Astyanax mexicanus: one gene and its partner. The protein of the gene in region 1 binds, or shares a complex with, the protein of each later gene. Links are inferred from orthologs where the notes say so. Each region holds a gene or a part of one and is shown on either strand. Other genes may lie near its edges. The genes, in order: somatostatin receptor type 5 and sst7.

Evidence for each region.
Region 2: the proteins of somatostatin receptor type 5 (region 1) and sst7 are in contact, whole or in part, in a cryo-EM structure (PDB 8X8L), measured with the Homo sapiens proteins. The link is inferred for Astyanax mexicanus from reciprocal best matches to the Homo sapiens genes SSTR5 and CORT. Residues at the interface, in NP_001044.1 of Homo sapiens: Tyr89, Leu96, Gln99, Asn100, Ser103, Asp119, Gln123, Glu182, Thr185, Cys186, Asn187, Ala188, Trp190, Gly198, Phe201, Ile202, Thr205, Phe264, Phe265, Asn268, Asn271, Glu279, Ala283, Tyr286, Phe287, Val290, Tyr294; in NP_001293.3 of Homo sapiens: Cys93, Arg94, Phe96, Phe97, Trp98, Lys99, Thr100, Phe101, Ser102, Ser103.

Annotation. Positions count from the first base shown.
Region 1 is NC_064428.1:35,178,971-35,195,868, forward strand, and holds the start of somatostatin receptor type 5, read left to right. Parts: upstream 1-9,286; 5' UTR 9,287-9,446; coding exon 9,447-10,172; intron 10,173-11,026; coding exon 11,027-11,434; intron 11,435-16,898.
Region 2 is NC_064420.1:41,465,805-41,482,508, forward strand, and holds sst7 (cortistatin), read right to left. Parts: upstream 8,848-16,704; 5' UTR 8,620-8,847; coding exon 8,518-8,619; intron 7,701-8,517; coding exon 7,473-7,700; 3' UTR 7,027-7,472; downstream 1-7,026. UniProt on the Homo sapiens protein: Binds to all human somatostatin receptor (SSTR) subtypes. It also inhibits cAMP production induced by forskolin through SSTRs.

The DNA of each region.
Region 1 (16,898 bases):
TAATTTAGAACACTTTATGTTTATTTTAGTATTTAGGGATGACTTGTGAACAAAAAGATCAATATCAATATAATCAAAAAATGTTAAGCTCAGGCTTCCAATCCAATATTAAAATAAATAAAAAAAAGTTAATGTAACTGGATTTAAGGTTGGTATATTTTTTTAATCATACTTTAGTATATTCCTTTGTGTGCATTGCAAACAAAAACAACATTATTATTATTATTATTATTATTATTATTATTATTATTATTATTATTATTATTAGTTATTATGATTTTACAGTGGTGCATAATTCAGGTCTAAAAGGGTGGTCTGTTATTTTTTTTCCAGAGGTCAGTATATTAATTCTCCCACCAGAAGCCCAATCAGAGTCCAAACAATGCCAATTAAGATAATCCCAGACCCAAGAATCCAAAATCCATAAAAATTAGACCAGTTCCAAAAAAGCTTGTCCCAGTAAAATAAAAAAAAGCCTTGGTCTTACCTCTCCACTCCACAGCTACACAAATAATCCAGACTCATTAACAGGAGTAAAAAATAAACTTGAAGGATCTGTTTTCTTACAGATTAAGAGCAAGTGCAGCAAACTTTTCCCCTCATTGGTAATCCTCCAAAAAAATGGCCACCACCACCACTTCCTGTCAGTTTTGTTTTTCACAATAAAAGTCCTTTAGCTAAAAACAGGGGCTGCGTCCAGAAACTTTTGCTACTCCTCCTCTCCTACTCCTCCTCTCCTACTCCTCCTCTCCTACCCCGGAAGAAGGTGGAGGAATGGAGGAGAGGAGAGGAGGAGGAGGAATGGAGGGAAGGAGCTGTAATTGGGGAAATGGAACAGCTGATCCCTTTTAGATAGGATGTTGACTACCGATGAACTGAGCCAATCACAACGCTCACTTTCAGCACATGCCGGATACTGCCCAGCCAATCACAGCTTCTGGATAGAGCTCCACATACAAAAATAAAACGAGAGATCAATAAACATAACTCCAAATTCTAGAGATCATAACTTTGACAAGCATATTAAGCTTTAAAGTACAGCCTGATTTGCTCTTAATAAAGATTGCATATGTAAATATTAAATAATTTTAATAGTGAAATGTGATTTCATTGAATGTAATAAAACAAAAAACAAATATTAAAAAATAATCAATATAATAATAAATATTATATTTTGCATACATGTTGAACTGAAAAAATATTAGTTTTAACAGCAACAATGGAATATTACTATCACACACAGCTAAACATAAATATAAAATATAAATATAAAATAATGCTAAAATGTTGCTAAGTGATATTTTTTTCCTGTGGTATTCATAAGTCGTTGGTATAGTATCCCACGTGGTTGGTGTTGTGTATTGTGATGCTTAGAGATTGCGATGGTGTCACTCAGTGGTTGCCATGGTATCACAGGTGGTTGCTGTGGTGTTGTTGCTAAGTGATAATTTTTTTTCCAGTGGTGTTCATAAGTCGTTGGTATTGCATCCCATGTGGTTGATGTTGTATATTGTGATGCTTTTACAGATTGTGATGGTGTCACTCAGTGATTGCTATGGTGCCATTCAGTGGTTGCTATGGTGTTGTTGCTAAGTGATTATTTTTTTTCCTGTGGTGTTCATAAGTCGTTGGTATAATATCCCATGTGGTTAATGTTGTGTATTGTGATGCTTAGAGATTGCTATGGTGTCACTGAGTGGTTGCTATGGTGTTGTTGCTAAGTGATTGTTATTTTTTTCTGTGATGTTCGTAAGTCGTTGATATGGTATCCCATGTAGTTGATGTTGTGTATTGTGATGCTTAGACATTGCTATGGTGTCACTCAGTGGTTGCCATGGTACTACAGGTGGTTGCTATGGTGTTGTTGCTAAGTGATTGTTATTTTTTTCTGTGATGTTCGTAAGTCATTGATATGGTATCCCATGTGGTTGATGTTGTGTATTGTGATGCTTAGAGATTGCTATGGTGTCACTCAGTGGTTGCTATGGTGTTGTTGCTAAGTGATTGTTTTTTTTTTCTGTGATGTTCGTAAGTCGTTGATTTAGAATACCAATTGGTTGCTGTTGTGTTGGGGTTGCTTGGTGGTTGCTCGGGTGTTGTCGTGTGGTTGCTATGGTGCTCCATATTGTACACAGTTGGGTATTGGGCGTATATTTGTATCATTAGCACAATTTTTTTGTGAGAAAGTTCCAAAGAAATGATGAGATAAATCAGAGAGTTGTTCACTCTGATCCTGTTCACACCGTCAGATCAAAGAATCTGGATCTGGAACGAAGAGGAAACTCTTACTGTCTAAACAAACAAATCAGAGGCAGTCCAGCGGTCCTGCTGTCTGTCTGGAGCTTCTCTAACAACTTCAGACTTACCCTGATGATTTCACACCCTACTGCTCTCACACACACATACACACACACACACTATCTGTGTGAAATACTGCGTGTGTCTTGCGTAATCTAGAAGCATGCTCTCATTCTTCTTCATACCTCTACTCTTCATCTCATTTCTGAAAGCTGCTCGTGCGTCACACACTCGGCGTTCACAGTGAGCGCGTGAGCAACTGTTCTGAACTAACTAACACCAGTAATAATAGTGATAATAATCCAGCACGTGTCACCTCTGCACTACTGAGTGAAACAGCTGAAGAAACTGTAGTGCTCTAGTGTAAAAAAATAGATTAAATTATACTAAGCATTTCTATACTATAGTGCACTAAAGTGTTCTTGTAGCCTCATTATTATTAATCAGTATATTTAAAGAGCGCTAAAATGGAACAACTTTTTAAAATACTTATTATACTTTAATTACAGTATAAAAATAGTACAACATTCTTACTTAAATTACTTAAAAAGTCTACTTAACTGTACTGAAATTGAACTATTTTAAATTTACTTAAGTAACATTTAAACATACATATATATTTATAATATATAATTATAATATAATTATATATTTTATAATATATTTAATAATGAGTAGCACAACTGTATCACTATTTATTATACACCAGATATATTAGAAATGCACTAAGAATTGATATATGTTAAATATATGTGATCTATATTTACATTTGAGTACAAATATACAACTATGCTTCTTGTTCCTGTCTTTTGTAAGAAGCACACTTCTAGTCTAGTTTACTTTATTGGGTATAAAAATATATTTTAATATAATGTACTACAAGTTTTAGTGTGTTACAATTTTACATTTTTTTAATTAGTAGTAGTAATTTAATTTACTTTCTAAAAAGTTACATGATACATTGTACTTTAAGTGAACTACTGTAACTGTAGTTGTTTTTAACACACTTTGCTAAAAGTGTACAAAAGTATATTTGTAAATATATATTTTAGAATTACATTGAATTACATTAAACTAAAAGTGCACTTCATAGTAGTCTATTTATTGAAAAGTAGACTATATTGTACTTTTTTAAAAATATGATCAAATTTTACTTTCAAAGCATAATATTAATGTACTTTTAATATATTTTAAGTAAGTACATAAATCTGTTAGTATATTTACATCATACATTTCTCAATATGTTTTAAGTACAATTAAGTATATATTTTGTTCACTAGGGTGCAGAGGCAAAGGCAACATAACTATTTTGCATTCTTTCATTCTACACTTTAGAATAGATGCTAAATAAATTTTTTAGATGCTAATTTAGTTTTTTTTTTTAAGATGATTAAATAAACTCTTTTTGCTGTTTTATGAAAGACCAATGAAATTACACTTATAAAGTGCCTTTCTTACAATCACATTTTACACACACAACCATTTACACTCAGCACAGAGCAGAGACAGCATACTCTCAACCGGAAACCACCGTCCACCTGGAGCACTGCATTAACTACACTGTAACAGAAGTTAGTTAATTTACCAATTTACCTGATCTCCATGTTTTTGGACTGTTTGATAAATTCGAGATATGCTGATACAGAGAGAACATGGAAACTCAGGACAGGGATTTGAACCCAAGACTGGTAGGCAAATGTGCTAACCACTAATCACTAATCCACCATACCGCCCAATGATGATGCTAATCCAACACTAGCGGGCAAATTTAGTTCAACAACCCAGCGTTTTGATGCTAACCCAACACTTTAGCTACAGCTAATTCAGTTAAAGCGTTTTTTACACTCTAATTTAACAGCATAATTAAATTAATTGACAGATTTAAATATTGTTCACTTATTGGCAATAAAAGTCCAATTCTGTAGATGCTAACCCAACACTTAACGCTTTTTAGCTGATTTAGCAAAATATATGGTGTATTTTTATTATAGTTTTCTCAACTAATTAAAAAAATAGATGCTAGTTTCGTAGTTGTAGCCATAACATTTAAAACGAGGCATTAACTAATAATGACGTAGACATATATATACATAGACTCCACATAGCCTGCCTCTTCCCAGCTGGCCACCAACATTAAAAGACATTAATTTCAGGTTGAGTTGTGGTCATGACTTGACAATGACAAATATTTTACAACAGGATAATGTCTAATAGTGTTACATGTCTGCAGGGTTGGCGCTGGCTGCTACGCTAGAAGGCAGGCTATGCAGAGTCTATCTATATATATGTCTATGTCTTCATCAGTAAAGCTTTAGCGTTTTGGGATGTAAACAGAGGTTTTTAATAACGTTCTTGTGCACTTTTTTTAAGTTATTAATGCCTCGATTTAAATGTAAGGCTAAATTTTTGGATCTCAGAAAGCTGCAGGAGAGCGGAGGTGAGCTATTCATCAAAGGAAAGTACTTTTTAATCATGTTTTACTAAACTAAAAGTCCATTTTACACCAAAAGTAGTTAAAGATCAGACAAATTGCATTTTACATACAAATATTATTAAAAATAAAAAAAGTTTGGATGCAACTCTAATCCTTAAAGCTAATCCAACAGCATGTTTCCTGTAACGAGCTTCATAAACCAGTGTTTTTTTGTTTCGTTTTTTGCTAATGCTTTATTTATTTATTTATTTATTTAATGAATGAATTAATGAGATTAGAAGCTGTGAGTGAGCGGTATTGATTGGTGCTGGTAATTTATGGGCTCCCGGGTTTATGATTGCAGGCAGTGTGTGATCATTAAGCCCTGTGTGAGGACCTTCATTCAACCTTGCTGGTCGTGCTGGTCGGGTTCATTCAGGTGTATTTATAATTAACCTCTGTAAGGTGCTCATTAACGTGGGTTTTGTGCAGTGTGTGTGTGTGTGTGTGTGTGTTTTGTGTTTTTTTTTTCTCCTGCTGCTGGTGTGTGTGTGAGTGTTTGTTTTGTGTTTTTTTTTTCTCCTGCTGCTGGTGTGTGTGTGAGTGTGTGTTTTGTGTTTTTTTTTCTCCTGCTGCTGCTGGTGTGTGTGTGTGTGTGTGTAGGGGGTGTATCTCAGTGCTGAGCTGCAGTAAGTTTGAGCAGCAGCAGCAGAAGGAGCAGTAGTGAGCAGCAGTAGTGAGCAGCAGCAGTAGTGACTGGGAGAATGCAGCTCTACAGGTCTGATCTCTGAACAGCCCGGAGCAGATCAGATCAGATCAGATCAGATCACACTGTCTGGATTACAGATCTCCGCCGCTCCGCTCGCGCTCAGAGATGCGCTCTGCCCGGGTCTCGCGCTCCGAGCTGCTGCCGCGCGCGCTCATAATGGGGAGACTCTCGTTCCTACAGTCTGCTATTGGTGTTTTTGGTGTTATTCTTTTAATCTGAGGAGATATTTTTAATTTTATTATTATTATAAATCCTGAGAACATCTGAGGATCACAAACCAGGCAAGTAGCAGCTCATCTCATACACACACACTTTACACACACTTCACACACACTTTACATACTAGTGCACTGTCACTAGTGCAGATATAAGAGCTTTAAATCTCTTTAAAACTTATTATATTCAATAATAATAACACACACACACACACACACACACACACACACACACACAGAGGCTGCATTATTATAATATAATAAGCTCTTACTGCTGTGTGTTGTTGCTCAGTGTAGCGTTTAGAAGTTTAATTTTCAGCAGAGTGAAGAAGAAATGGATTTTTATCCAAATTATTAATTATCTATTATTCATGTCAGCCAATGAAAATGTAAAAGGTCAGTGTAACTTTTTTCTATTTGATTTTCTGACCGTTTGGGGCTAAATGCAAAATTAGAAAATTGGATGTAAAAACGCATAATTTCATTTATTTTAATGTAGTTTAGTGTACAAGAAATGTTTTTATCCATTTTTCCAATTTTAGTTTTTTCCTCTCTGCCCCTTACAATCGGAATGTCAGGAAAAATGATTAATTAATCAATGAATGAATTAATCATTTTTTGCATTTTGCAAGCTTTGCCAGATTTCAGATTTGTTTATTTTTCTGTCTTTTAACACAAATCTAAAAAATCAAGAGAAGATTCAACTTTATTTTCTCTTGAAATTCTGTTTGCCAATAGCGGAAAAAAATAGATAATAAAAAAATTGGGGGGTCAGAGTAACATTTATTAATTTATTTTTCTAATTGTTTGAGGCTAAATGCAAAAATGGAAAAAAGGATGTAAAAACAGATTTTTTAAATGTAGTTTAGTTTACAAGAAAAAGTTTTTATCCATTTTTCAATTTTTATTTTTTTTCATCTCTGCCCCTCACAATCAGAAAAAAAATATTTATTTTTTTTCCAGATTTTTGAATTTTTGCATTTGTAAGTTGGATTACACCATCAGATGTGTGTTACAAGATACAAACATGGAAAAATCTGAAAATTGAGGCAAGAATCCATTTTTATATCTCGTGACACAAATCTGATGGTATGCAAAAATGGAAAATGGGAAGAAATCTTGAAATTCTGATTGCGAGGGGCAGAGATGAAAAAACTAAAATTGGAAAAAAGGATGAAAACTTATTTCTTGTACACTTTATGCTGCTTTACTCCTGGTGCAAAAATTCAAGCAGTTCAGTTTGGTTTGATGGCTTTGGATCATCCATCTTCCTCTTGATTATATTCCAGAGGTTTTTAATTTGGTAAAATCAAAGAAACCCATCATTTTTAGATGGTCTCTTATTTTTTGACCAGAGCTGTGTTTGTATGTGGCTTGGACATACCCTACATGTTTTGCAATACTTTTTGGATGGTCATCCATCATCCTGACCCCCCCACTAGTGCTGAGTGCAAGGATTAAACGAGTTACAGAGTGGTCTGGAGTTGCATTGATATATATATATATATATATATATATATATATATATATATGTACGACAAACAGCATAGGCATATTAGCTGGTCTTAAGTGTTTTGGCTTTGGGCTTTTGTTGGTGTATATATGTTTTTATGTACACACACTATATTGGTGCTATATAATGGACTGTTTGTGGACACTCATTCTAATGAATTCTAGCATCTGTAGTGACTCTTTTGAGCAGATAAACAAATATATATATATATATATATATTGGAACCATGTCTAATGTCAGGTGAGGGCTATGGACGAACATAAAGCCCCCCAGTATTGAGCTGTGGATCAGTGGAGGAACTGTGTTCTCTGTAATGATGATGGAGCTCCATACAATACTTTAGAATGGGATGAGTTTGGTTGAGGTGGGATCATCAGCATCCTGTAACATCCTGACCTAATCGACGATGATGCTCGTTAATAAATGCAATCAAGTCAAATGAAGTCAAGAGGCTTTTATTGTCATTATATCTGAGAACAGGAACACCGTGTATCGAAATTACGTTCCTCTGTAACCATGATGCAACATGGTTAAACAACAAGAAGATAGACAAACATAAAGTGCAAAAGTTTAAAACCATAAAATATAACACTGCAGTAAATACAATAAATTCAGAATACAAATCCTCACTGCAATGCTGCTTTAAAGTCTAGTAGAAAGTAGTCTTCTCTGGACAGTAGAGGCAGTTACTCCGACAAAAAAAGCAGGATAAACTTATTTTAATACCCTTGATATAAGCAGATGATCCAATACTTTTGTCAATGTTATTTAATGTTATTTAAAGGAACTACTTTAATTCAATTAAACCTTAAAAAGGGAGAACTCTGGTGTAAAATGGACTTTTGCTGTAGTAAAACATAGTAAAAAGTTCTTTCCTTTGATGAATAGCACACCTGAAATACAGTAATTTTGTGCTTATCCAGCTCAAAGTAGCTCCACACCTCCTTACTAGAATCTGGAGAGCCCTGACATTTAAAACGAGGCATTAACAACTAAAAAATTGCACAAGAAGCTTATTAAAACTCACTGTTTACATCCTATAACGCTACTAGCTTCAGCTCCGAGCGCCGCCATCACTGTACTGATAATGTCATAGACATATATATACATATATACATAGACTCTGCATAGCCTGCCTCCTGTCATAGCAGCTGGTGACCAGTGCTTTTTTTTTTTTTACAGTGAGGAAGGTGTTTAATACATAATATATTATAATAATCACAACTCTACAAATCTCAACTTATACCCGATTTTCATAATATAACATATAACAAAATACTACATCTTTGCTATGCGTAGTCTATGTGTATATATGTATATATATGTCTATGTCATTATCAGTACAGTGATGGCGGCGCTCGGAGCTGAAAGCTAGAGCGTTATGGGATGTAAACTGTGTTTTTTAATAAGCTTCTTGTGCACTTTTTAGTTATTAATGCCTCGTTTTAAAAGTCAGGTCTCTCTGGATTCTAGTAAGGAGGTGTGGAGCTACTTTGAGCTGGATAACGGTGGAAAAAGTGATTTATCAGGGTAAATTATGCTCCATATCACCCAGTCTGAAGGGTGTTTGTTGGACAAACTGTTAAAATTTCTGGATCTCTGAACACTGTGGGAGAACGGAGGTGTGCTATTCATCAAAGATAAGAACTTTTTATCATGATTTACTAAACTAAAAGTAAATTTAACACAGGAGTTCTCCTTTAAAGTTGTTTTTTATGACCAACGACCACACCTTAGTTATAGTTTTATATGCATCCCACTTTCTGGACACCACATGGGGTCTCTGAGATGAGTGCGCTAAAGACACACACACACACACACACACACACACACACACACACACACACACACACTCAGATCATCAGATATAGAGCATAGAGCGGCCAGAACAGAGCCACCTCCGCTGAATCACAACCCTGACTAACACTGCATTGAAATCAGGTACAATCTGTGCAGTGGGAGTTTTCTCATTCTCAACTCACAATCTCTCTCCTTCTCTCCCTCTCTCTGATTCCTTCTGTCGTACTCTCTCTCTCTCTCTCTCTTTCTATCTCTATCTTTCTCTCTTTTCACAGCATCCCAGCATCCAAACTCTGACAACAGCCCCGTGGGCGTCCGAGACCCACTGACGTGTCGCTTCTCTGCGCGATTTCGTCGCTCCCTCGTTCTTTCTTTTTTTTTCTTCTCCTCTCCATCTGCCTCTTCTGCCTCTCCTTTCTTCCCCTCCCTGGATCAGGAATGGAGCCAGGGGCTGTATCGGAATGGGAGGGGCCCCTCCTGGGGTCCTTGAACTCGTCAGGGATTCTGGAGGCGACGGCGTTTTCGAGGGCGCCGGCTCTCCTGGGAAACTCTTCCTATAACTCTTCGGACTACAGCATGCCGTTCCAGGGCAGCAGCACCATGCTGACGGCCATCATCTCGCTGACCGTTTTTATCGTGGGACTCGTCGGAAACACGCTGGCCATCTACGTGGTCCTGCGCTACGCCAAGATGAAGACGGTCACCAACATCTACATCCTGAACCTGGCCGTGGCCGACGAACTCTACATCCTGGGCCTTCCGTTCCTCACCACGCAGAACGTGCTCTCCTATTGGCCGTTCGGCTCCTTCCTGTGCCGCGTCCTCATGACGGCGGACTCTCTGAACCAGTTCACCAGCATCTTCTGCCTCACGGTCATGAGCATCGACCGCTACCTGGCCGTGGTGCACCCCATACGCTCCACCAGGTGGCGACGGCCGCGGGTGGCCAAAGTGGTGAGTGCCGCGGTGTGGGCCATCTCGTTCGTGGTCATTCTTCCCGTTGTCATCTTCTCCGACGTGCAGGACACGTTCTTCTCCTGCAACCTGAGCTGGCCGGAGCCGCGGGACGTCTGGTCCATGGCCTTCATCCTCTACACCGCCATCCTCGGCTTCTTCGCCCCCCTGCTGGTGATCTGCATGTGCTATCTGCTCATCATCGTCAAGGTGAGTCTCCAACCTCTTAACATCATGCCTGTTGAAAAAAATTTAAGTAAAATTGACTTTTTTTAAGTAAATTTAATTTCAGATACTTTAAAAAAGGATTGATTTAGGAAAAATAAAGTTTACTAAAAGAAAGGATTGACTGAAGTTCAGTTCACTTATTTACTTTATGTAACATTTTTAAAACCGAGTTGAAATTAAATCCAGTACTCCATCCAGTACTTCTAGGGATTAGAAAATCTAGTAGAAAGCCTTCTCTGGACAAAAGAGAAAGTTACTCCAGCAAAGAGTATGTTTTTTCCACTGATTTTGGAAAAGCCTCGCAGCCGCAGCAGAAATCACCTCACCACACCAGGGCTAACTAACTCTGCCCGAGTTGAGACTTTTCTACATATTTGTTTTTTTGTTTTGTTTTTTCACATAAAAAAATTCGAACAGAGCTTTTTTGGAGGTTCTTCATTGTGAAAAAGATGTTTTAAAGAATATGAAAGCTTTTTCATTGAGCGAAAGTAGTTATTATTTCAATGCAAAGAATGAGAAGTCCATTGAGGAACCTCCAGGATGAGTGCCTGTAAGCACTTTAGCGATACCTCAGTACAACATCAGGTTCTTTAAAGATCTCGAAATATGGCTCGTACAAGAAATGTAGGCTATTATATTTGGATTCAGGTACAGAAATCGTTATTCGCTCCTTCATAGATTCAGACTGAAAAAACTGTGTAAAAAGCTTTGAGTTCTTGGAGGAGCCTGTAGGTTATTGTGGTAACCTAGAGGTTCTACAAACTTTTAGCTTTTTTAAGTACAAGTTAAACAAATTGATGAATCGATTGATTCATTCATTTTTTGATTGATTGAAGGTGAAGTCAGCAGGTGCTCGTGCCGGATTCACTAAGCGGCGGCGGTCGGAGAGGAAGGTGACGCGTATGGTGGTGGTGATCGTGGTGGTGTTCGTTCTCTGCTGGCTGCCGTTCTACATCATCAACATCGTCAACGTCATCGTCATCCTGCCGGAGAACAGCCTGATGGTGGGCATCTACTTCACCGTCGTCATCCTGTCCTACGCCAACAGCTGCGCCAACCCCGTCCTCTACGGCTTCCTGTGCGACAACTTCAAGCAGAGCTTCAGGAAGGTCCTGTGTTTCCGCAAGACCAACGGCGTGGAGGACGGAGACCCCAGCGTCCCGCGGACCGAGAAAATCACCACCCACGACTCCTTCCTGCCCCCGAGAAACCACGAGTTTAACGGACACGTGCAGAGCAGCCAGGTAACACAGCATCCACAGACCGCAGGATGATTTATAATGTGTGTATGGGTGCATATATACATATATATATGTGTGTGTGTGTGTATATATATGTGTGTGTGTGTATAGTGTACAGTTATACGTGTGTAATGTTATACATGAACATGCAGCACACATCAGGGCCAGAATGAAATTAACTGATTTTATTCTATTGCATAAATTAGCATCCGATTTAATATCATTTTTATTGTTGCAAAACTTTTACACAAAAATTCTATTTGCCCATAAACATTAATGGACATAACAATTGTGTACTATTCTTATGTGCCAATATAATGAAAAGAGTACAACTTGGCAACCTGAACAACCACCTGAGATACCACAGCAACTGCCAATTAATCCATAGAATCCCCCGTCAACACCATTCTAGCAGCAGCATCATAATCACCTGGTATACTATTGCAGCCATGGAGCAACACCACAGCAACCACTTGTTGAACTCTACTAAACTGTACCCATCTAGCAACACCGCAGCAACCACCTGACAAAGCAAAGTAAGCATTTAGTGTAGTAACCACTTAGCAACACCACAGCAACCACCTTGGATATCAAAGTAAGCATTTAGTGTAGTAACCACCTAGCAACCACCTGGCATACCAAAGTAAGCATTTAGTGTAGTAACCACTGAGCAACACCACAGCAACCACCTCACATGCCAAAGTAAGCATTTAGTGTAGGAACCACCTAGCAAAACCACAGCAAACACTTGGCATATGAAAGTAAGCATTTAGTGTAGTAACCCACCTGGCAACACCTCAGCATCCACCTGTTGTACTTTACTATACTGTACTATGTAGACCATTGAAACCTTCTGGTACACCACAGAGACCATCTAGCAAACACTAAGCAACACCTGCCTGATGTACTGTACTATACTGTACCTACGTAGCAGCACCACAGCAACCACCTGATGTACTGAACTGATGTACTGTACTGTACTATACCTATCTAGCAGCCACCTAGCAACACCACAGCAACCAACTGATCTACTGAACTGATGTACTGTATTATACCTATCTAGCAGCCACCTATCAACACCACAGCAACCACCTGATGGACTGTACTACACTGTACCTAGGTAGTAGCACCACAGCAACCACCTGATGTACTGAACTGATGTTCTGTACTGTACTATACCTATGTAGCAGCCACCAAACAACACCACAACAACCACCTGATGTACTGAACTATACTACACCCATCTAGCAATTGAGCAACACCATTGTGAGCACAAGGTATATCATATTAACTACCTAACAGCACCATAACATCCACTTAGCAACATCATAACAACCACTTAGCAACATCATAGCAACCACATAGCAGTCATTTTAGCATTTTAGTACTTTTGGGATTAGTCATGGAGTCATCCATCAGTATTGACCTCATTCACACTCGTGTGGCCGAATGCAATCATATCCTCACAGCAACGCAAATCTAGAAATCCAGTAGAAACAACCTATACTATGCTAACCGGAGTAAACAATACTAGAGACAATACTTGTTTGTTATATAGTGTAGATAGATTGCTGCAGGTCATCTGCTATATAATATTTATGTTCCATCTGGACTCGTTTAAAACCATGTTGTAAAACCAGATGTCCCAGCAGTGACCAAACGCCTGAGGGGTTTTCTATGTGCATGATGTTTGTTGGTGTGTGTTGAAGTGTGTGTGTTGTTATGTGTGTGTGTGTGTTGTTGTGTGTGTTAGGGGTGTGTGTACATGTCCTCATAATCCGCTACATGCCCTTATTTAGAGTGGAGTGTTTTATCTGATGCAGCTCTACATGGTAAAGGTCATGCTAACGCAGACAGTTTGGTTTGACGCGTCGAGCAGTCGGGCATAAATTTCCTGGCAGTTTGAGTGGCTCCATGCTGGCTCTATGGAGGGGGGGGGGGCGGTGGATAGAGTGGGGGAGGGTCAGTTAAACACACACCAGTTATAACCTTAGCATTCATTACAAAGTCCAGGAAAACAGCACTCACTCTATATGAGTTTTAATGCAAATATATATTTTAACTAATGTGTTTAAAGAGTTAATTATCAATATTTTTATATGCAACTCAAAATCAGAAAAAGCTGGGCAAGTTTGAAAAATCATAGTGTTTCTTACATTGACTTTAAAGTGTCAGTCCGTATAATTGTGTTTCTAAACTGAAAACAGAAGAATTTCTGAGTGCATAAAGGTTAAAATATTGTGTTCGATGGTACCAACTAGGCAACCTAAGCAACCACCTGAGATACCACAGCAACTGTCAATTAATCCATAGAATCACCTGGCAATGCCAAAGCAACCACCTGGCATACCAAAGTAAGCATTTAATGTAGCAACCACCTAGCAACGCCACAACAACTACCTGGCATATCAAAGTAAGGATTTAGTGTAGCAACCACCTAGCAACACCATTGTAGTATAGTAACCACCAAGCAATGCCAAAGCAACCACCTGGTATACCAAAGTAAGAATTTAGTATAGTAACCACCTAGCAACGCCGCAACAACCCCGGATACCAAAGTTAAACCCAGTTAAACACATACCAGTTATAATCTTAGCATTCATGACAAAGTCCAGGAAAACAGGAAGTAACAGTCACTCTATATGCGTCTTAATGCAAATATCACATTTTAATCACCCTGTTTAAAGAGTCAATTGTCTACATTTTTATATGCAACTCTAAATCAGAAAAAGTTGGAAAAGTTTGGAAAATCGCATTGATTACATTGACTTTAAAGTGGCAGTCTGTATTATTTAGTTTCTAAACTGAAAGCAGAAGCATTTCTGAGTGGAGAAGAATATAGATAAAATATTTTGTTTAATGGAACCAGTGTGCTGAAACCACCATCCTGCTAAACCTAATATCTAATATATTCATTCTAAAAACTGGGGTCGCGTCTTTACGTAGTAGCTCATTGAATCATAGTAAAACCAAAGACCAAAGAAACGAAGGAGTGAAGATTCTGAATTTTATTTGTTAAAGCTCACCTTCCGCGAAAATCCGATTTTTCTTGTTTTTTGTGGAATACAGTAGGTCTCTCTGAGTTGAATGTGTACACCTGCACATTAAACTGTTTTGCAGCCCCCATTGTCTGCAGGAGCTAAGCAAAGAAATCCCCCCTCCCCCCCTCCGAAAAACGGGTGAATTTTGAATTATCTTTCTGCCTACGTAGGCAGAAACTCACAGACCAGCCCACCTTGGCCCGAGAAACTCCCAGAGGCGGAGCTGAAGCGACGCAACATCACCGCTCATCAGTTAGGAGGTGGGAGGCAGTGAGCGGCAGAGCGGTGGAGGGGCGTCGCAGTGCTCCTAGCCAATCAGAGGAGAGATATTTGCATGCTGTTTGCATGTATGAATATTCATGAGCAAAGCTGGAATCCGGTCATTTTGGACACACCCCTAAAACAGTCCATTAAAAAAGAGCTATACAGAGACACCTGAGCATTTTTTTTTTTACAAAAACGGCTCACATGTCATTCATTCATACTAGAGACCACAACTAGACATTTTAAAATGAAAGAAAAAACGACGGAAGGTGACCTTTAAAGCTGATATCCGTAAGTTTTGAGATTTAGGGCCCTCTCTGTTGAGAATGGGTAATTGCACCGAACATGCGAAAGAAGAATCATTTTAAACTGGGCGGGTGTGATGCGGTCTCCTTTTAGAGCAGAAGAATCTGAATCCAGGTTATGTTCAGTCAGAAACTTCATTCCTTCATTTCTTTGGTTTTTCTGTGAGTGAATGCAGGAGCTACTGAGCTCTGAGTTTCCTCTTCTGAAGTCTCCATTGCTCCACCAGCCGCTCGCGTTATAGACTATATACATGAGTACTTCAGGACGCGTGACGTGGCCAGAAAAATGATCCGACACCCCAGTTTTTTTTTTTTACAATGAATACATTAGGCTTAGCGGGAACATTGTTTTTTTTTAATGTTTCAATCATTCTTGTGCATGAAACGAAAAGCCTTGAAGAGAATTCTCAAGGCTCAAGGTCATCATCAGATGGTCAGGCGGTTTCTAAACAGGTTGTTTTCCCAGCTTGTGGGTTTATGAAGCATGTGTAAGAAGCAGGAAGTGAATGGCGTGTTTTGAAACGAGTTCCCACAGGCTGTTAAGTTTGTGTTTTTGGTAAAAGCCAGCTTTTTAACGTTTCCATAGAGTTGTAGACTTTCACCCCTTTTAGTCCTTTTAGAGAGGAATTGCCAAATCCGTTCGTACGATTGGCTTTTTGAACACAGGTCAGAGAAGATGGAGAAACTGGGGGTTTATAATCATCAGCAGGTGCGAAATTAGCCGGAAGCGACAGCAGTCACTCAGGCTTTGCTGCTCACTGTGGTAAAAGACTCTGGCATGTGTCCCTCAGGACCACCGCCAGAGAAAAACAGGCAAATTAATGCACTGAATTAACTTCACATTGGGATGGACGCTCGGTACACGCTCCACCAGCTCCAGAACGCTCAGGAACGCTGAGGAACGCTGCACTGAAAGCCTCTTTCCTTCTTTCAGTATCATTTTCTACACATGTTGCAGCTTTTCACTTGAAAAAAGAGGTTCTTCAAAGTTTTTTTACTGAACCAACTAAAGCAAATTGTTTCGCTAACATTTGCTAACTAGCTTCGCCTACCTGCTGTCTTGATAAGATACAGGTAAAATAGTAAAAATAAGTGACGTCTGGCCTCTTTGTGGGGTAATTTTTGTACAGAAAACATGTACTCATGCCAGGCTGTCATGGAGTGACTCAGAATGACTGTGGATCATCTTCAATGAAGAGTCCTGCTTTTGTCCTGGTGTAGAGACGACCAGCAAAAACATGTATGAAGTCACAGTGATCAGCTGTGAATTGATATATGACCATTTTTTATAATCATAATACTGTTATAAGTGATTAACATTATAATTCACATGTCTAGCTCGTAGAGTGAGCCATTGGTGTGGTGTTTGACATTGAATGAGCTACTGAGCTCTGAGTTTCCTCTTCTGAAGTCTCCATTGCTCCATCAGCCGCTCGCGTTCAGTAAAACTGAGCCGGATCCTCTTTTATAGAATATATAAAAGATCATTTTAGCCATTTGCTAAAAAGAATCAAAGCCCACCCTATAGTGGCTTAGAACATAAACGTTATATAACCCAAATCCTCCCAGTCTGTTAGCAGAATAAGACATTATCCAAAAGCCGTTTTTATTGCAGTATATTGTTATTGGTGCGATTCATTGCTCTCATCACTGAACTCGCGTGTAAAGTCAGTGTTCTGGCGAATTCAGCACCCCCGCCAGGAAAAGCTCCCTCTCTCGGCAGTAAGTACTCACAACCTTTAATTAGAAACATGTTCCCGGAGTGCCGAGTGGTCCAGTGGTCTAAAGCGCTGCCACTATGAGTGGGAGGTCGCAGGTTCAAACCCCCACTCATGCAGCTTTGCCATCAAGCTGCCG
Region 2 (16,704 bases), on another chromosome or scaffold:
AGCTGCATGGTCCACAATTGATTAATAATTAATGGAACAAGAAGAGCCCACAAAGTTCTTCTTGGCATGTATATCATCACTGTCCAATGTAAAACAAGTATCTCTATTTTTGTTGACTTTTAGTTTTCTACATAATTTAAACAAACTGATTACTGGACCAATAGAAATACTTAAGAATGACCTAAAATAAATTATTTTAACATTGACTTCCATTGAAAGTTTAGAAGGTTTTTTCTCTCGTCTGAAAATTTGCTTTTTTAGAGATACTTGTTTTTCATTGGACAATGACGATATATACTTACATTGTCTGGGTTTATTAATTTTGCATAATTGTCATAACTACTAATTGCAATGGTTTACATTCAGATGGCAGATTTATTTTGCTTTGTTTTATTTTTAATTTTCTCTTATGGCTTTGACTGAAACTGCAGCTAGTTAAGGCTTCTAAGGTAAAACATTTTTTACGTAGTTGCACAAAATTTAAAGTTTGCTCTTCTCTGCATATTTCAGAATGAGTTTTCTTTTTGAGTTTGGAAAAAAAAAAGAAACCTAGCAGCAAATGATAATCACTCATAAAGCACTAGAGCAGAAAACGGCCTCTTCAAGCAAAACCCATCTAAGAGGAATTGATTTAAAGTCTTTACGCCGTTTTTAGGTCACCAACTTTCATATCGTATAGTGCACGCAGCAAACAAGTGAAAGTGAGATTCAGGAATATTTACTTTGCAAAAAACCCGTCCGTTTAAGCCTCTAATACCAGGGAGAGAAATTCCAGCGCTTTCTTTGTGTCGGAAGGGAAGCCATTACTCTGTACTTCCCGAAACTAAACACGCCAGACATTACATATGAATTTCAAATTCACGTTAAGGTAGCAGCACGGCTCCACATCAAAGGAAAGCCAATCAGAACGCTTTGGTTACAGGCAGCCGCTTTGATGTGCTTTTAGTATGCACTCATTGTAGCTCAGGGCACTCGTGTAGTGGACAGCATTTTCCCCACCACACACAGCATTTTCAGATTACTGACAAAAAAAGACAGAAAAAATAATTTCTTCATTGAAATCATTCTCACAGCTCTGAATCCCGTCAGACTATAAGGGTGGACACATTTGTCCATGTCATACTATACACACCCTGACTGACCACCTCCACTAGAATGTATTGACTTATTATTCAGTATACTGGCATATTTAATGCAGTAGCCCATGATATTAGTCATGCTTTTAATGACTGTCCCTTGATTAGGATTAATCTTCTTTAATGCATTGCTTCTTTTGGCTGCTGCTCATCCCCACAGCCTCCACAGAGCAGGCTGGACTGGACGGTCACATCCTTGTGACGACAAAGGCCCAATTTTAAAGTTGCCAATTTAAATCTAAAACCATCTAACAATAGGAGATTAACAAGATTAATCTGTGCAGACTCTCCAGATGAGAGAACAAATTCCCACGTCACACATCGTTTCATCCCAGCCAGCTTACCTGCCTTAATTAGAGTCACAGTTACAACAAATTCACACCTCATTTATTATTTTTTATACAAACAGGATCCTGGATACTCAAAACATTATATGATACCAGGGAGGTCATCCCTGAAGTGGTCTCCTATATATATATATATATATATATATATATATATATATATATATATATATATATATATGTATAAATTAGGAGATCACTTCAGTTTCTGAATCTCTGATTTTGCTATTTATAGGTTTATGTTTGAGTAAAATAAACACTGTTGTTTTATTCTATAAACTGACAACATTTCTCCCAAATTCCAAATAAAAATATTGGCATTTAGAGCATTTAATTGCAGAAAATGAGAAATAGCTAAAACAACAAAAAGGATGCAGAACTTTTAGACCTCAAATAATAGTTCACTAATCAATAATTGGTGGAATAACCCTGGTTTTTAATCACAGTTTTCATGCATCTTGGCATGTTCTCCTCCACCAGTCTTACACACTGCTTTTGGATAACTTTATGCCTTTACTCCTGGTTCTTGTGGTCAACTATATATATATATATATATATATATATATATATATATATATATATATATATATATATATATATATATACCAATTTTAATCAATTACTCTTAACTGTGAATTTGAGGAATGTCAACTTACATAGACAAGTTATTTTGAATGCACACACTTGACCATTTGATTTGATTCCGTTGATTGATTGATTTTGTGAGAGGTCAGGTTCTGACGTTGGATTATTAGTTCTGGATCACAAACTCCATTCCAACTCCCAATTTAAGGTGCAGGGTGATCTTAGGTTTATTTAGTGTATGTCCTGATATTTGTGAACTAAACACATGGAGCAGTGGGACTGTGTAATCAAATCCTCACAGCAATTCTCCTTGGAGACAGTGGAGGCACTTTTTTAATACCTTTAATTTCAGCAGAACCAATGATTGAGCAGGTAGGTGTCCCAATATTTTTGTCCATGTATGTGGCTGCTGCAGAGTGTGTTGTTCTTTTGGTAAAGCTTTGTATGTAGATTATTCCCAGCTGTGTGTGTGTGTGTGTGTGTGTTTGTGCACAACTAAATATGTTTGTTAACTCCCTATTACATCTGTTTTAATACACTTGGACATAATTAGATTTAATATTATACTGTTATTATTTTACTATGCAATTTTTTGTCAATAATAGTAATCTGAAAGCTTCAGTAATTTAATGTCAGTCATTGAAGGTTAATGACTGTGTAATAAAAAGGTGAGTGCCAGAGAAAAAGGATCAAACGCTGCACTTTCTGGAATCCAGAGAGAAATCTGAGTGTGTCTGGGCGATGCTGTGAGGTAGAGAGTGAGCAGCAGACTGGACGCTTTATTAGCTTCAGGTGAGCAGCTGGTTTGTGGTCATTAATTCTCTAGGCGTTGTCTCCACACACTGAAGCTTACAAAGTTGAGTCTTTTTGCAATACTATTCAGAAGAAAGATAAAGTTTTACAGGAACAATAAATGATTAACAATTTATATAGGAAACTCTTGGTCACATTTAATAAACTACAGATACAGAAGTAGTGTGTGACACGTGTGTAAAGCTGCAATATGCCAGACATTCCACATGGTGTTGTAGAGGTTCCTAATGGTGTTCTGTGACAGCACATCCTGTGCAGACTTTGCATTAGAAGAGGATTGTTGTTGGGGGATCCGAGTGGTCCAACGGTCTAAGTGCTGCCGCTATGATCAGGAGACTGCCGGTTCGAATCCTGTTCATGTAGCCTGTCATCAGCAGCCGGAGCCCTGAGAGAGCACACTTGGTCTTGCTCTCCCTGAGTGGATAGATGGCACTCTCTGCCCACATCACTCTAAAAGGGTGATGTCACTCGGCACAAGGCGTCTGTGGGCTAATGTATTGAAATCGAGTCGCTGTGCTTTCCTCCGAGTGCACTGTGATGCTACTCGGCGTGCAAAAAGTGAGGGTCATTGGCCGTGTAAATTAGGGAGAAAATGTGGAAAAAAAAGAAGATTTGTTTGTAGTGCTTCAAACAGCATCCCACACATTTTCAACCAGGGATAGTTCTGGGGACTCAGCTGACATAGTGACATAGTATCCATGTCTTTAAGGCAAACTCCTGAGATAGCACCAGTGTGCGGATGAGCATTGTCCTGTTGAAACAGGTAAGAGAAGGTAGGGTCACTGGTTGCAGAACCTCATGAACCGAATGTTGGCTTGTTAAAGTGCTTGTAATGAAGACCAATCCTCAAATCATGACAGCAAGACTTTTGAATGCTTGATGTGACAGCAAACCTTTGATCTTAGTGCAGACCATGGTGCCTCCAAACATCGATTTTTGGTCGTCTTTACCTAAACAAAGGCAGGACTCATCACTGAAGAGCATTCATTTCCATTCTGAGTCACTCTGTGATAGTCTGGCATGGCTACTGAATCATTTTCATTCCTGTTAGATTATTCCTTTTGAGTACATCATTTTTTTTGAGAATGAGTCTATCAGCAATGTAATTATGATGTGATTGATGACAGATGAATCACAAATGAAGATATCAGAAGAATTCTTTACTCTGACAAACACAGGATCAATTTCCTTTCAGAGGAGTGTTTATGTCATCACTCCAAAAAAAGCTCAGAAAGAATATTACTTACTCAACCTGTCATATAATTGGCCAACAACTAATAAAACACGACAGGTTCCAGTTTTATTTTATTTATATTATACTATTCTTTAGGGCTTTTTGGCCTGTATTGAAATCTGAGCTATAAGGAAAAGTTTAAAAAAAAACAATACACAAAAAAAAACTTTTATATACTGTTAAAATATAATTATTTAAATAAAAATTCTATTTTTTTTTTGCAGTTATTAACTGTATTTGACAGTAGTAATGCTATGTAAAATGGCAGAGTATATGGATACATCATTTATTTAAAAAGTCTATTTGGAGTCTATTTAGTCAGTAATTCATCCAGATTTTGGAGTATTGCTGTGAGGATTTGATTGTATTTAGCCACAAGTGGGCTTTCATTAGGGGGCCATTCTCTGAGCAGTTATTTGAGGAGTTCTCACCCAGTCAGCTACTGTAGCTTGGCATTTAACTATAACAAGTCTATAAGTCTAGACTGTGATGTAACAGTTTTGGGGTTTTGGAATTGGCTCGTTTTACAGCTCTGCTTTAAAGACTTTTTTCTTGAGGTCATATGGCACATAAAATACTGTACAATTTATTTGGAAAAGCTTTAAAAACATTGTAAGAATATCCTTTTGGCCAAGGTAAAATATTATTAACCAACAACTAATAAAACCAACTGGTTCTTCCAGTTTTAAGCTATTCAATTATATAAGATTTTAGGGATTTTGGTCTGTAGTGAAATCCTTGTCTGTGCTATAAAGAAACGTTTAAAATAACTATCCACAAAGAAGCTTTACTTTTATATAATGTTTAAATATGAATGTAAAAAAATAATTTCCTTTATTTTCTTACAGTTATTAATTGTATTTGACCATGATATATTAGCATAACAATAGTAATGCTATGTAAAATCACAGAGCATTTGGAAAAGGCTTGTTTTACAGCTCTGCTTTACAGACCTTTTTTCTTAACGTCATATGGCACAAATGAAAAAAACACTGTTAATTACATTCTTGACAATGTAATTTGATGTTTGAATTTAAAACCTTGTAAGAATTGTACTTTTACAATTTTATCGATTACTGTTATTTTTTGGCTTGTATGTTTGCTTCAAAGTTTGTACATAGTTGAATCTTCATATTATTTAATTATTAAATGTAATTGTCATGCTTTCACTCAAATCTACTCTGCATGATCATTTAGAGAACCTTTTATTGGAAGGACCCGTTGATGTGTTTTCTGGAACAGACCCTTTTACGAATCTTTAGCGTTTAGAGTGTAAGCTGAGTTATTGATCATTAAAGACACAATACTGCCAGATTTCTTCTGAACACATGATTACAGGGCTGCTTTCAGTACATCCAGGAGAAAACAGGCATTCCTGACAGCATTAGAATTCACACTGATGAGTCATTTGTCTGAAGGCTCTCGGTGATTTGGGCTGTATGGAGGAATGTCATGCCTCGGCTCAGCTCCTCGCTACACCTATTATATTTCACGCCGTTGCGTAAGGAAAGACGTAAGAGTGTGAACCGTGTGAGTTAGAGGGTCCGGACATTACAGACCTGCTGCTGCTTAACATGTTTACTCTGAGAACTGAGTGAATCCACTGCATCCACCGCCTGTTATTCAGCTGTACAGTGTAGGAAATGTGTTCTGTGTTCTCCTCTCAGCTGCTGCTTCTTATATAAAGCACTGAACATGTTCAGCAATAGCAGCAGATTACAGTGTTTAAATTCTCAATGATGGCAAGTTTCAGCACTCAGCGCTCAGAACACGGTTATCACCCCGGTGTTGCTGAACAAAGCTTGTGAATGACTGAAGCCTGGATTCACTGATTGAATAAAAGCTGCAGGTGTGAAAATGCTGTTATTCCACAATGGAGAGTGCATATTTAGATCATGCCATTGAGAGACACTGCCGTCTCAGCAGCTCTGAGCGCATCTGCTGAACAGGTGTGAACAAGAAAGGACACAACCAGTCCCTTGTATGCAATCTAATGCAATCCACAGGGGGTCTTCCACACGGGGTCTAAAATGCATATAGTAAAATTGTATATGTGTATTTTGCAATTGCAGAATTTAGGATACGAATATATAAAATGTCATTATATTACTATAAAAAATAATAAATTTAAAATATATATTAAAACATTGCAATTTTATTAATAGTATTATTATTACTTTTATTAATAATATGCATTTGTTTGGGGAGAATGTTGACTTTGTGGATAGCTTGTTCTCTTCTCAGCACTGAGGTCTTTGGTTCAAGTCCCTATATGAGTGATGTTTCCATGTTATTCCTGAATATATATATATATATATATATATATATATATATATATATATATATATATATATATATATATATATATATGTGTGTGTGTGTGTGTGTGTGTGTGAGATTTTACTTTTATATAGTATAAAGTATATAAGTAAATTGTTTGCTTGTTTGTAATGCTTACATTGAGTGTTTGTATGCATGTTTGAATTTGTATATATATATATATGTCTGTGAATTCATGTATGTCTTTGAGGATTGGCACTCTGTCTTGGTGAATCAGATTTCAATACAGTCATACAGATATCTGATTGAAAGTACATTGTGTGGAACTGGCTGCTACTTCTTGTCGTTTAGTGTAAAGGATTGTATAGAGTGTTAAGTGTAAATCATCCCTGGATTCTAGAAAGTTGCCAAATTTTGTCCATTAGTAAACTATAAAACAATAGGCTTATATGTCATTATTTTAAAGGCAGAAATAAATCTGTAAAAAATACATAAAACAAAAAGTATATATATTTTAAAAAGGTATATAGGTGAGCTTGTCGTAAAAAAAGGCTTATTATATAAAATATAAAATTAATACAAAATAGACCTCTCATCAATCTCTCAACATGAAGAAAAACAGCAGAACAGAGTCTTTGATCGGTTATACGTTTATTTCTCCATTGGGATAAAACAGTTGACTGCTTTTTTCTTTTCTGTCCCGAGGGTTGACCACAGAGAATGAGACATCCCTTATCAAAAAGCAAATTGCTTCACCATGCTTTATTGGTCTGAGATGTTCAGAAACGAGAAACAAGAAAATAATTAAACAAATAAATAAATACATATTAAATCATTCTGTCAATAAATAGATAAATATAATCATCAGTATCTTTAACAAACTGGCTGCATCAGTCCACAAGTCCACGGCGACCCTTTCTCTCGACGGCGGTGTTGGTGATGGTAACTACAGTGAAAGTGCACACAGTTCATAGTTTCGGGGGGTTTGGTGGAGAAGAAGAAGAAGAAGAAGAAGGTGGGAGGTGGAGAGGTGGGCGTTCGGATGGAGGAACCCGGTCGGAGGCTGGCAGGCTGGCACTGTTAGCAGGAGGTGAAGGTTTTCCAGAAGAAGTTTTTACAGGGGGCTTTGCGGTCTCTCTGGGGCAGCTGTGATAACCGGTTGTAGACGGCTCTCTCCTCCAGTCGTGACTCCAGGGGCTCCTCTGCCTCCATGGGGACCAGATCCCCGCCCAGCACGCTGTTGTCCACTCCATCCAGGAGACCGGACACGAGCTTCAGGATCAGCTCCTTACGTTCTTTACTCAGCTCCTGAGGAGAGCAAAGGCGGTTACACTCTCAAACAGAGCTCAAACTGTTCCTAGAAAGACATTATTCATAATTAATTCATAATTAAAATTAGCCTCAAAATAGAGCCCTGGGGGACTCCACGGTGTACGATAAGCAAAAAAGGTTATATGTTAAAAAAAAATAATAATTCAAAATAGTTTATGTTTTAGGAATAAAAACTAAGGAATACATCTAGGGTTCATAGAAGAAACCTGGATACTTCTATTGTGGAGGATGTAAATGATGTTCTTTAAACTAAAATCTATCTTTAGTCTATAAAAGAACCCCTTTTAACACCTTAACATTTAACTGCATAGTTATAGTTTGAAATAATGCACTAAAGTTAACTCATTAATGCCAGTTTAATCAATTAGTGACTGAATTTCAAATAGATTAAGTCATTATTTAGAGTAATTCTGACACTGTGGCTCTAAATCTTTTTTGAAGAGTGTGTATAATAATTTTAAAATAAATAAAAATCCTATTAAAAGATAAATAAAAATATTGCCAAAATTTATGGATTAAAAATAAATCAATTTTAGACAAAATGTCTAATAATTTTTTTTCATACACTAACATGCCAGAAGTCATGGGATAGCAGTACGTAAACTGAAAAAAATGGGCATAATTACAAACATACATGAAATATACCAACACAAAATAGGTAAAAAGCATTGAAATGATATATTTCACAGATTTTTTCTGAGAAATAATGCACACACACAAAGTAAGTTAAGTGCACCAGTCCACTGTCCAGTGCTGAAAGGAGGGCAGTAGGTGAAGTGGGCTCTGGACTCACCCTGGTGTGCGCTGGGCTCCTCTCCTCCACTGGAAGCACGGCCGCTGCCCTCACACTGTACAGCACCAGCAGCAGAGACACTAAGCTGGCCAAAATCTGCATCCTGACTACACCAGTGAAGAGCAGAGGATGAGAAAGAAGAGAGAAAGAGAAAGAAAGAGAAGTAAAGCCAGAGAAAGCTGAGCGTGACGGAGCAGCAGACCCGTAGAGCCGGTGTGAGAGTGTGTGCAGAGTGGGAGTTTAGGAGGTGCTGAAGCTGCTGCTGCTGCTGCTGCTGCTGATGCTGCTGATGATGCTGCTGCTGCTGCTGGTCTCAGCTCAAGTGTCTTGGGCTTTGGGATTGAGGTGGCCGCCTCTTATATACCCTGGGCTGGCGGTCTCGGCTTGACGCAGGGGTTGGTGGATGATGGAGGGTTGGGTGAGAGGGAGGGAGTGAGGTGGGGTGGGGGGCAGGGGGGAGTAGGAGGCTTAAGGACTAACAAAAGCACAGAGTAGTTAACCTCCTAACAAACCAGCCATTTCACTGGAGCTGAGGAGCACGCGCCTCCATGCTCACGTCAAACGGCTAAAAATGGTCCTGACATCAGTCACAGCAAAAAAAATTCCAAAGTAGAATATGTGCCGACAAAAAATACCAGATATTCTGATACTTAAATTTATTAATAATGTCTTAAATGCACGTTTAAATCTGGAAATGTCTCATTTAACTCAATTTAACTCAATTCAGTTCTGCGTAGGAAACATCCGTCACGGTCAAAACACCCTGGGTCTCTAAACGGGTAACTTTACAGGAAAAGGAAGAAGATACTCAACTTTCAACGGAAGTCAATGTTAAATCAAATTAATAACAAGTCATAAGCCTTAAAAGGGCAGTTTATGCTTTCAAATTATGTGCAAAAAATGGAAAATGATTGAAAAATAGATACTAATTGAATACATATTCAAAATTACTTTTCAGAAGTTATGCAACAAACTATATAAATAGTACATGATTAATATAGATAAATAAATAAATAAATAAAGAATTAAATAATGAAATTAATTAACCAGTAACCACACTGCAATATAAATGTTTGCATCTCCAATGGAACATGGAATGTTTAAAAAAAGCACTTCTATGCTTTTGGCGTAATTAATAAAACAGATTCTGTCAGATTCAGTGAAGATTCAGTATGTCCTTTTTCTTTAAACATAATTTGACTCTAAAATAATCTGAATAAGTTGATCAAAAGAAATTCTCAATAGAGATGTTTTACTTCCACTGAAAGTGGAAAATTACAATTTTGGAGAATCACAAGTTATAATTGAAGTTACTACTCCGTTCATTTCATAATGTATTGTATTAGCTAATTACACCTTTTTTCATACACACACATGCCTTAAATGATGGGATATTAGTATGTAAATTGATAAAGAAGTGTTACCTCAGGGGTTAACTCAGTTGTGTGGTATGGTCTTGTGAGTGAAGTTAAACACGGGCCAGTGTGCTCATGGCAAGGTGATGTGAATGATCAGAGCTGGAGTGAGGCCTCGATCCATAGTGTCACATGTGTACAAGGAATACGTCACAGAAGGCAATAAATACCACTCACAGTGTGCAGTGCAGTGGGTGGAAATGATTGTGACCGGCGGAGTCTGGTTAGAATTGTTAGAAACTAGAAGAAATCCACATTCACATCCACATTTAATACAGGAGGACTCACATACATACTGAACATCCCACAGTGCAGTGTTCTTTAGATTCCAGAAGTTGTCTGGAAAATATTAAGAAACCACTTCAGTTTCTGAATCAGTTTTTCTGATTTTGCTATTTATAGGTTTATATTTGAGTAAAATGAACATTGTTGTTTTATTCTAAAAACTACAGACAACATTTCTCCCAAATCCCAAATAAAAATATTGTCATTTAGAGCATTTATTTGCAGAAAATGAAAAATTGCTGAAATAACAAAAAAGATGTAGAGCTTTCAGACTTTCTCAAATAATGCAAAGAAAACAAGTTCATATTCATAAAGTTTTGAATTCTATTTTTAATACAATTACATGCACCAGTCTTACACACTGCTTTTGGATAACTCCTGGTGCAAAAATTCAAGCAGTTCAGTTTGGTTTGATGGCTTGTGATCATTCATCTTCCTCTTGATTATATTCCAGATGTTTTTAATTTGGTAAAATCAGAGAAACTCATCATTTTTAAGTGGTTACTTTTTTTTTTCCAGAGCTGTATTTATATACATATATTAATATATAGATTGTGTGTGTTGTATTGATCATAGCCAGACAAGCAGATTTAAATAGGATATTACTCAAAGAACCCATATTGTAATAACTGATAATAAGTATTATTTGTAGTCTCTGATAACAGCTAATACACTATTCCAATATTTACTGGATGCTACTAAAACTCTACTCTCACTTGTGTTTTACAGCACAGCGTGTGCTCACACCATCCTGCACACACTTCTCATTTCCACACTCTTCATCCCTCCTCATACGATTCTAATCTCACAGTCGGGCTCACAGATAGATCGAACTGTCTGACACCTAAAATGACCAGGGGAAGTTTTTTTATGGTTTTGATGAGATGATAGACGCTGACACTGCACGTGTCCTCCTGCAGAAACCAACTCACTTTAGAGAGAAAGATTTTATTGTCTTTAACATTTGAAACAATTACTATACTATACTTTACAATAATATACTATACAATTACTATAATCCTAAGATTATGAACAAATATTCAAGATAATAAATTGATTTCAGTGCTCCCTGAATAAACAATAAAAATAGAAAAATAACAATATTAATGCTGCTGCAGCATCAGGGTCAGGTGTAGACATTTACTGTGCATTATTATACTTTAGAATACTTTAGAAAACTTTAGAATAAATATTAATTAAATTAAGCTAAACTGTAGGCTTATTATTTAAATGGAAGTCATAGTCCTAGAAACCTGGTGTTAGAAATTCGGCTTTCAGGAATCAGGAGTCAGAATCAGGAATCAGGAGACAGCTTGAGAGATGACTTGAGTTTATTCTCGTGCAGACAGAAAATCTACACGGGCACAGCTTAGTTGGTCGTTGCTCCCTCTGTGTCCGCCTGACTAGTCCATGTGACTTGTCTGTCTGTTACTGTCTGTGTGAGACTCTCTGACCGAGACTCAGCTAGACTGAGCTTGACTGAACTGAGTGAGACTCAACTAGACTGAGCTACTAAGACATTTTAGCAGGACTTTACATACAGGAGAAACTGCTTTGAACACAGCAGGGGGAGAAAGGGTAAGGGTTTATGGAGGAGTATGTGGGGGGTGTCATCATTGGGGGTGTCTCTATCAACATATGTTAAACAAAGGAGAGATGTGAGAGATAAGGGTGAGGGGCAAAAGGTTAGGAGTGTATAGGGAAAAAAGGGGGGTTAAGGAGTGAGACAGTTTAGAACCTAAGAAAACTTAATAAAAGTACAAATTGTTGTTGACAGAATCTCTCACTGGTTTGACAAAATTCTTAAGATTGGTTTTTTAAAAGAAATTATATGAATCTAAACATCTAAATGTTACGAATGAGCAGGGGTGGACGTAAGTGCGAATATTTTATTTAAACAAACAAGATAAAATAAAACAGTAAACAAAACACGGGTAACGCAAACAACTACAAAAAAACAAGGCAAGGAGAATATAAAACTAAAACAAAGACTAAGAAACACAGACTAATAAACTAAGACTAGGATACATACGGACAGCAAGGATACAGAGGATACAAAAGACTCGACACTGAACATTCAAACAGAGGGGCTTAAATACAAGAGGAGAGTGAGAAACACCTGGGCTAGGATGACAAGGGGGCGGGGTTATAGACAAGACACAGGTGAGAAAACTAATAGCTAGGGCGGGGCTGGGGCAGAGCTAGGGTGGAGACACTTGACAGGAAAACAGAGGGACAGGAGCACAAGAGACCAAATAAGGGAGAAACAGAAGACAGACATGGGCTAAGGTGTTACACTAAAAGTGACATTTTCTTAAAGTGCAATGTAAAATGATACCTTTATTAACCTTTTTATTTTTTACAGCAAGTTAGTTGGTATATAGTTATTACATTTTACAGCACAAAAAGTTGACAATAAAGATTGTAAGATTTCAGCATATTACTATATAATAAGAATAGTAATGTATTGAAAATTACAAAGTATTACAGCTTTGGCATAAATAAATACATTATAAAACTTTAATTATTCTTTACAATACCCATATATAATTTCAGGGCCTTTTTTTTGGAAATGTGAAAGTAAAAAATAGGTTGGTTATCAACCAGCATGAAGTCACTCTTTGTAGTAAAGAAAATGGTAGCTTGCACTTATGGCCTACAACCCTTCTGCCAGGCAATCAACTATTATATAAAATATAAATTGATGCCAATGAGAAAGTAGCCCTGGTAGGCAAGAGTACACAGTGATGGTGAGTTAAAGTTGGGGGACACACCCATAATGCAACTAAAGGATTTCAGGAGCCAATAGGAAATTAACTTTTGAATTACATAATACAGCAATAAAAACCCTATTACAGCACTAAAAACCCTACTACCTCACTGGACTCTATTGCACACTGTGTAATAGAGGTAATTACTACCTCACTGGTCTTTTTTGCACACTTTTTGCACACTGCATAATTTGCACACTGTCTTGTTATTTATTATTCTTTGTCTGTATTGTGTTGTATTGTCTGTCTGCACTTTTGTACTGTTGCACTATTGTTCTGTCTACACTGTGTTTATGTGCACCATGGTCCTTGGAGGAACGTTGTTTCGTTTCACTGTGTACTCTGTATATAGCTGAAATGACAATAAAAACCACTTTGACTTTGACTTGACTTTGATACGAAATGTTACTTTTTTTGTCTGTTGTTTATAGAATAAAACAACAATGTTCATTTTACTCAAACATAAACCTATAAATAGCAAAATCAGAGAAACTGATTCAGAAACTGAAGTGCTCTCTTATTTTTTCCAGAGCTGTATGGTATTTTTTTTACAGTCTATAATAAGGTAAAGTTTAGGACGTTTCTGTATATGGTAAATTTGATTTGTTTTTGCCTGGTGTTTAGTCTCACAACACAGCAGTAATGTCTTGGGAAACTTCTTCAATCTAACCACCTGTTTATTCCTCAAAAGGTACAGTTAAATATACAGGATGCAGCTGTTTTCATAGTCTGTCCCAAGAACATAGTGTATGAAAAAATAAATACAGCAATTTGTTGCTTTAATATACAGTAATAAAGTAAACTGAAACATTTGATGTGTGTGTGTGTGTGTGTGTGTGTGCTCTCCAGTGATCTCCAGATGACATAACACTGTAATTCAGGTCATCCTCCTGGCTGCACACGTGTTAGTTGATGGACACCTCTTTGGAGATGCACGTACACGCCCGGGCCGAGTTCAGGGACCTGAGAGCTGATATTAGAGGTTTTTATTCGTTTTTCACAGCAGTCTGACACGGCCAGGATTCGGGCCCCCTGGCTCTGCTGAGATTAATGCAGGGCTGAGATGATCTGGCCCCTGAGCGCAATCTTGATACACTGCGTTTGAAGAATTCATGCCAATTGACCACCGCTAAACAAATATATATATATATAGTAAGCAGCACCAACACGGAAAAAACACCAGCGGCATCAGTTCTGCCCACTCTAGTAAGTTCTACAGTCTGTGTTGGACTTTCTGGACTGAGTCATATTGCCTCATATTTACCTTCTCAGCTACAGAACATCTTTAATGCACAGCTCTATGAGACACACAGAACATTTAAGAGCAGAGTTAGTACCATATGTTTACTGGCATGATTGTTCATTAGACTAATTAGCAAAAGCTTTAAAAAAACTTCAAATGGCAACAAGATATGTGAAGTATCCTTCCAACATAAAGACAAGAAATATATACTTACAATGATGACTGAGGCACATTAATTCACATCTAAAATAGATAAGAGAACATGAAAACATAAAAATGGAACTGAAGAGAAAAGAAGAGGGGGAAATTGAAATTAAGAAAAGAGAAGAGAAAATAAGATAAAAATTATTAATCTGAAACTTTGCAGGTGAGAAATTAAGAAAATACAAAGAACAAGAGATAAAAAAGAAGATACAATAAGCTAATAAAAAAGAAAATAGCTCTAAATAAAAGAAAATAAGAAATTAGAATAAAAGAAAATGTGGAGAAGATAGGGAAGAAGGGAAGAGAAAGGAAGAGATGTTAAGAAAAGAGACAACAATAAAAAAATAAGAAAACAGAGAAAAGAAAAGATAGAAGAAGAGAAAGTTATAAGTTAAAAGAAAACTACTGAAAATAAAAGAAGAGATATAGAAAGAAACACTAATAAAAGACAAGAGAATACAAGTGGAAAGACAAAAAGAAATGAGAAAGGAAGGGATTAAATGAAAAGAGAGGAGAAACAATATGTACATTTTAAAGTTTTAAAATAGTACCATTCACTCTGTAGTCTGTCAGTCTATATTTAAAATTCATACAGTATAGAGAATTTCATCTCTAATTCCTCTGTGCATTTAGCTACATGCCGAGTTTAAATAAGCGATGACAGTGACACTGCAGTGTCTGTTTTAATTCAGTGGAGCATGTGCACGATTCTGAAGCTGCTATTTTAAGGTGAAATTTTCCCAATTTTACTTTGATGGAACCAAAAAGTGGTGGTTCTTTTTTGGCATAGCCTATTATTCTAAAAAACTATTTGTTAGGGCTTTATTTTTAAGATTAAACATCCTTAATAATACATAAAGCACCAGAGGCTGAACCCCTCACCTTTTATTGGAACTTAACACAAATATTTCTGTGACATTTTTATCAATGTTTTAATTTTCCAGGTGTTTCTGAGAGATAAACGAGTCTCTGAATTTCCAGGCTTTTCTATGATTTTACTTCATCTTACAGATATCTGATACTGAATTTAAATCTCCTCTAGGTAATAGGTCATTATTGTGCATTACATGTACAGGATGTTAGGTTCCTCACAACTGCACTGATCTTCAAAGTAATATCAGTAAACATATTTGCAATGCTCCTGGTGCCATCTTGTGGTTACTGTTGCTACTAACAACCTAAGAAACAAAATGAATAAAAAGTGTTAACAGTTACATACTAACAGCATTGACTTTTTTAGGCAATAACGTATACTATTCTATGTTATAAACAGATTGAACATTTTAGAAAAATATGAATAGAAAATGAATTAGTGATAGAAATAGACTCATTAAATACATATTCTCCAATTGGTGATAAGTAGAACATCAATTTAGAACATGCTATCAGTATTTGATGTTTTTTAATGGCATATTAAACTAAATAAACAAAAATACAGTAATATACCTGACACATCTAGAAAACACATGAACCAAAGTGCTGCCAATTACACAGCAATCATATATACAGTTCTGGATAAAAAAAATAAGAGACCACTTAAAAATCACGTGTTTCTTTGATTTTACCAAATTAAAAACCTCTGGAATATAATCAAGAGGAAGATGGATGATCACAAGTCATCAAACCAAGCTGAACTGCTTGAATTTTGCACCAGGAGTGGCATAAAGTTAACCAAAAGCAGTGTGTAAGACTGGTGGAGGAGAACATGCTAAGGTGCTTGAAATCTGTGATAAAAAAAAAAACAGGGTTATTTCACCAAATATTGATTTCTGTACTTTTAAATCTTTATCAATATGAACGTTTTCTTTGCATTATTTATTATATTTATTCATATAGTCGTATATATTTAAAGACTGGGTCATAAAAGAAAAAATACATGAATTCTTTTCATTATTGCCCTAAACAAAGAAATAAAATAAAAAAACTAAAATATTACAGTTTTTTTAATGATAATGTCAAAGGGTTAAAATGAAGTGTTTTTGTTTCTATAATTAAAGAGAAAGAGGGGAGATATTTGTTATATATTTTATTATTTTAAAGGAACACATGGATTTTGTGAATTTAACATGATTTATTAAACACTCGATGCTGAAAGAATAGGGATGTCCACTCTTCTGGCAACACACTGGGTTACATGACTGGTACAAGAGAACGGGCTGAGGACATGCCTTCTATAATAGAGAGCATAAAACAGTTTAAAATACAGTAAACAGTGAATTCACCTGGAGGAGCGCCTTCATTTGACTGAGTGTAGCGTTTAAAACCATTC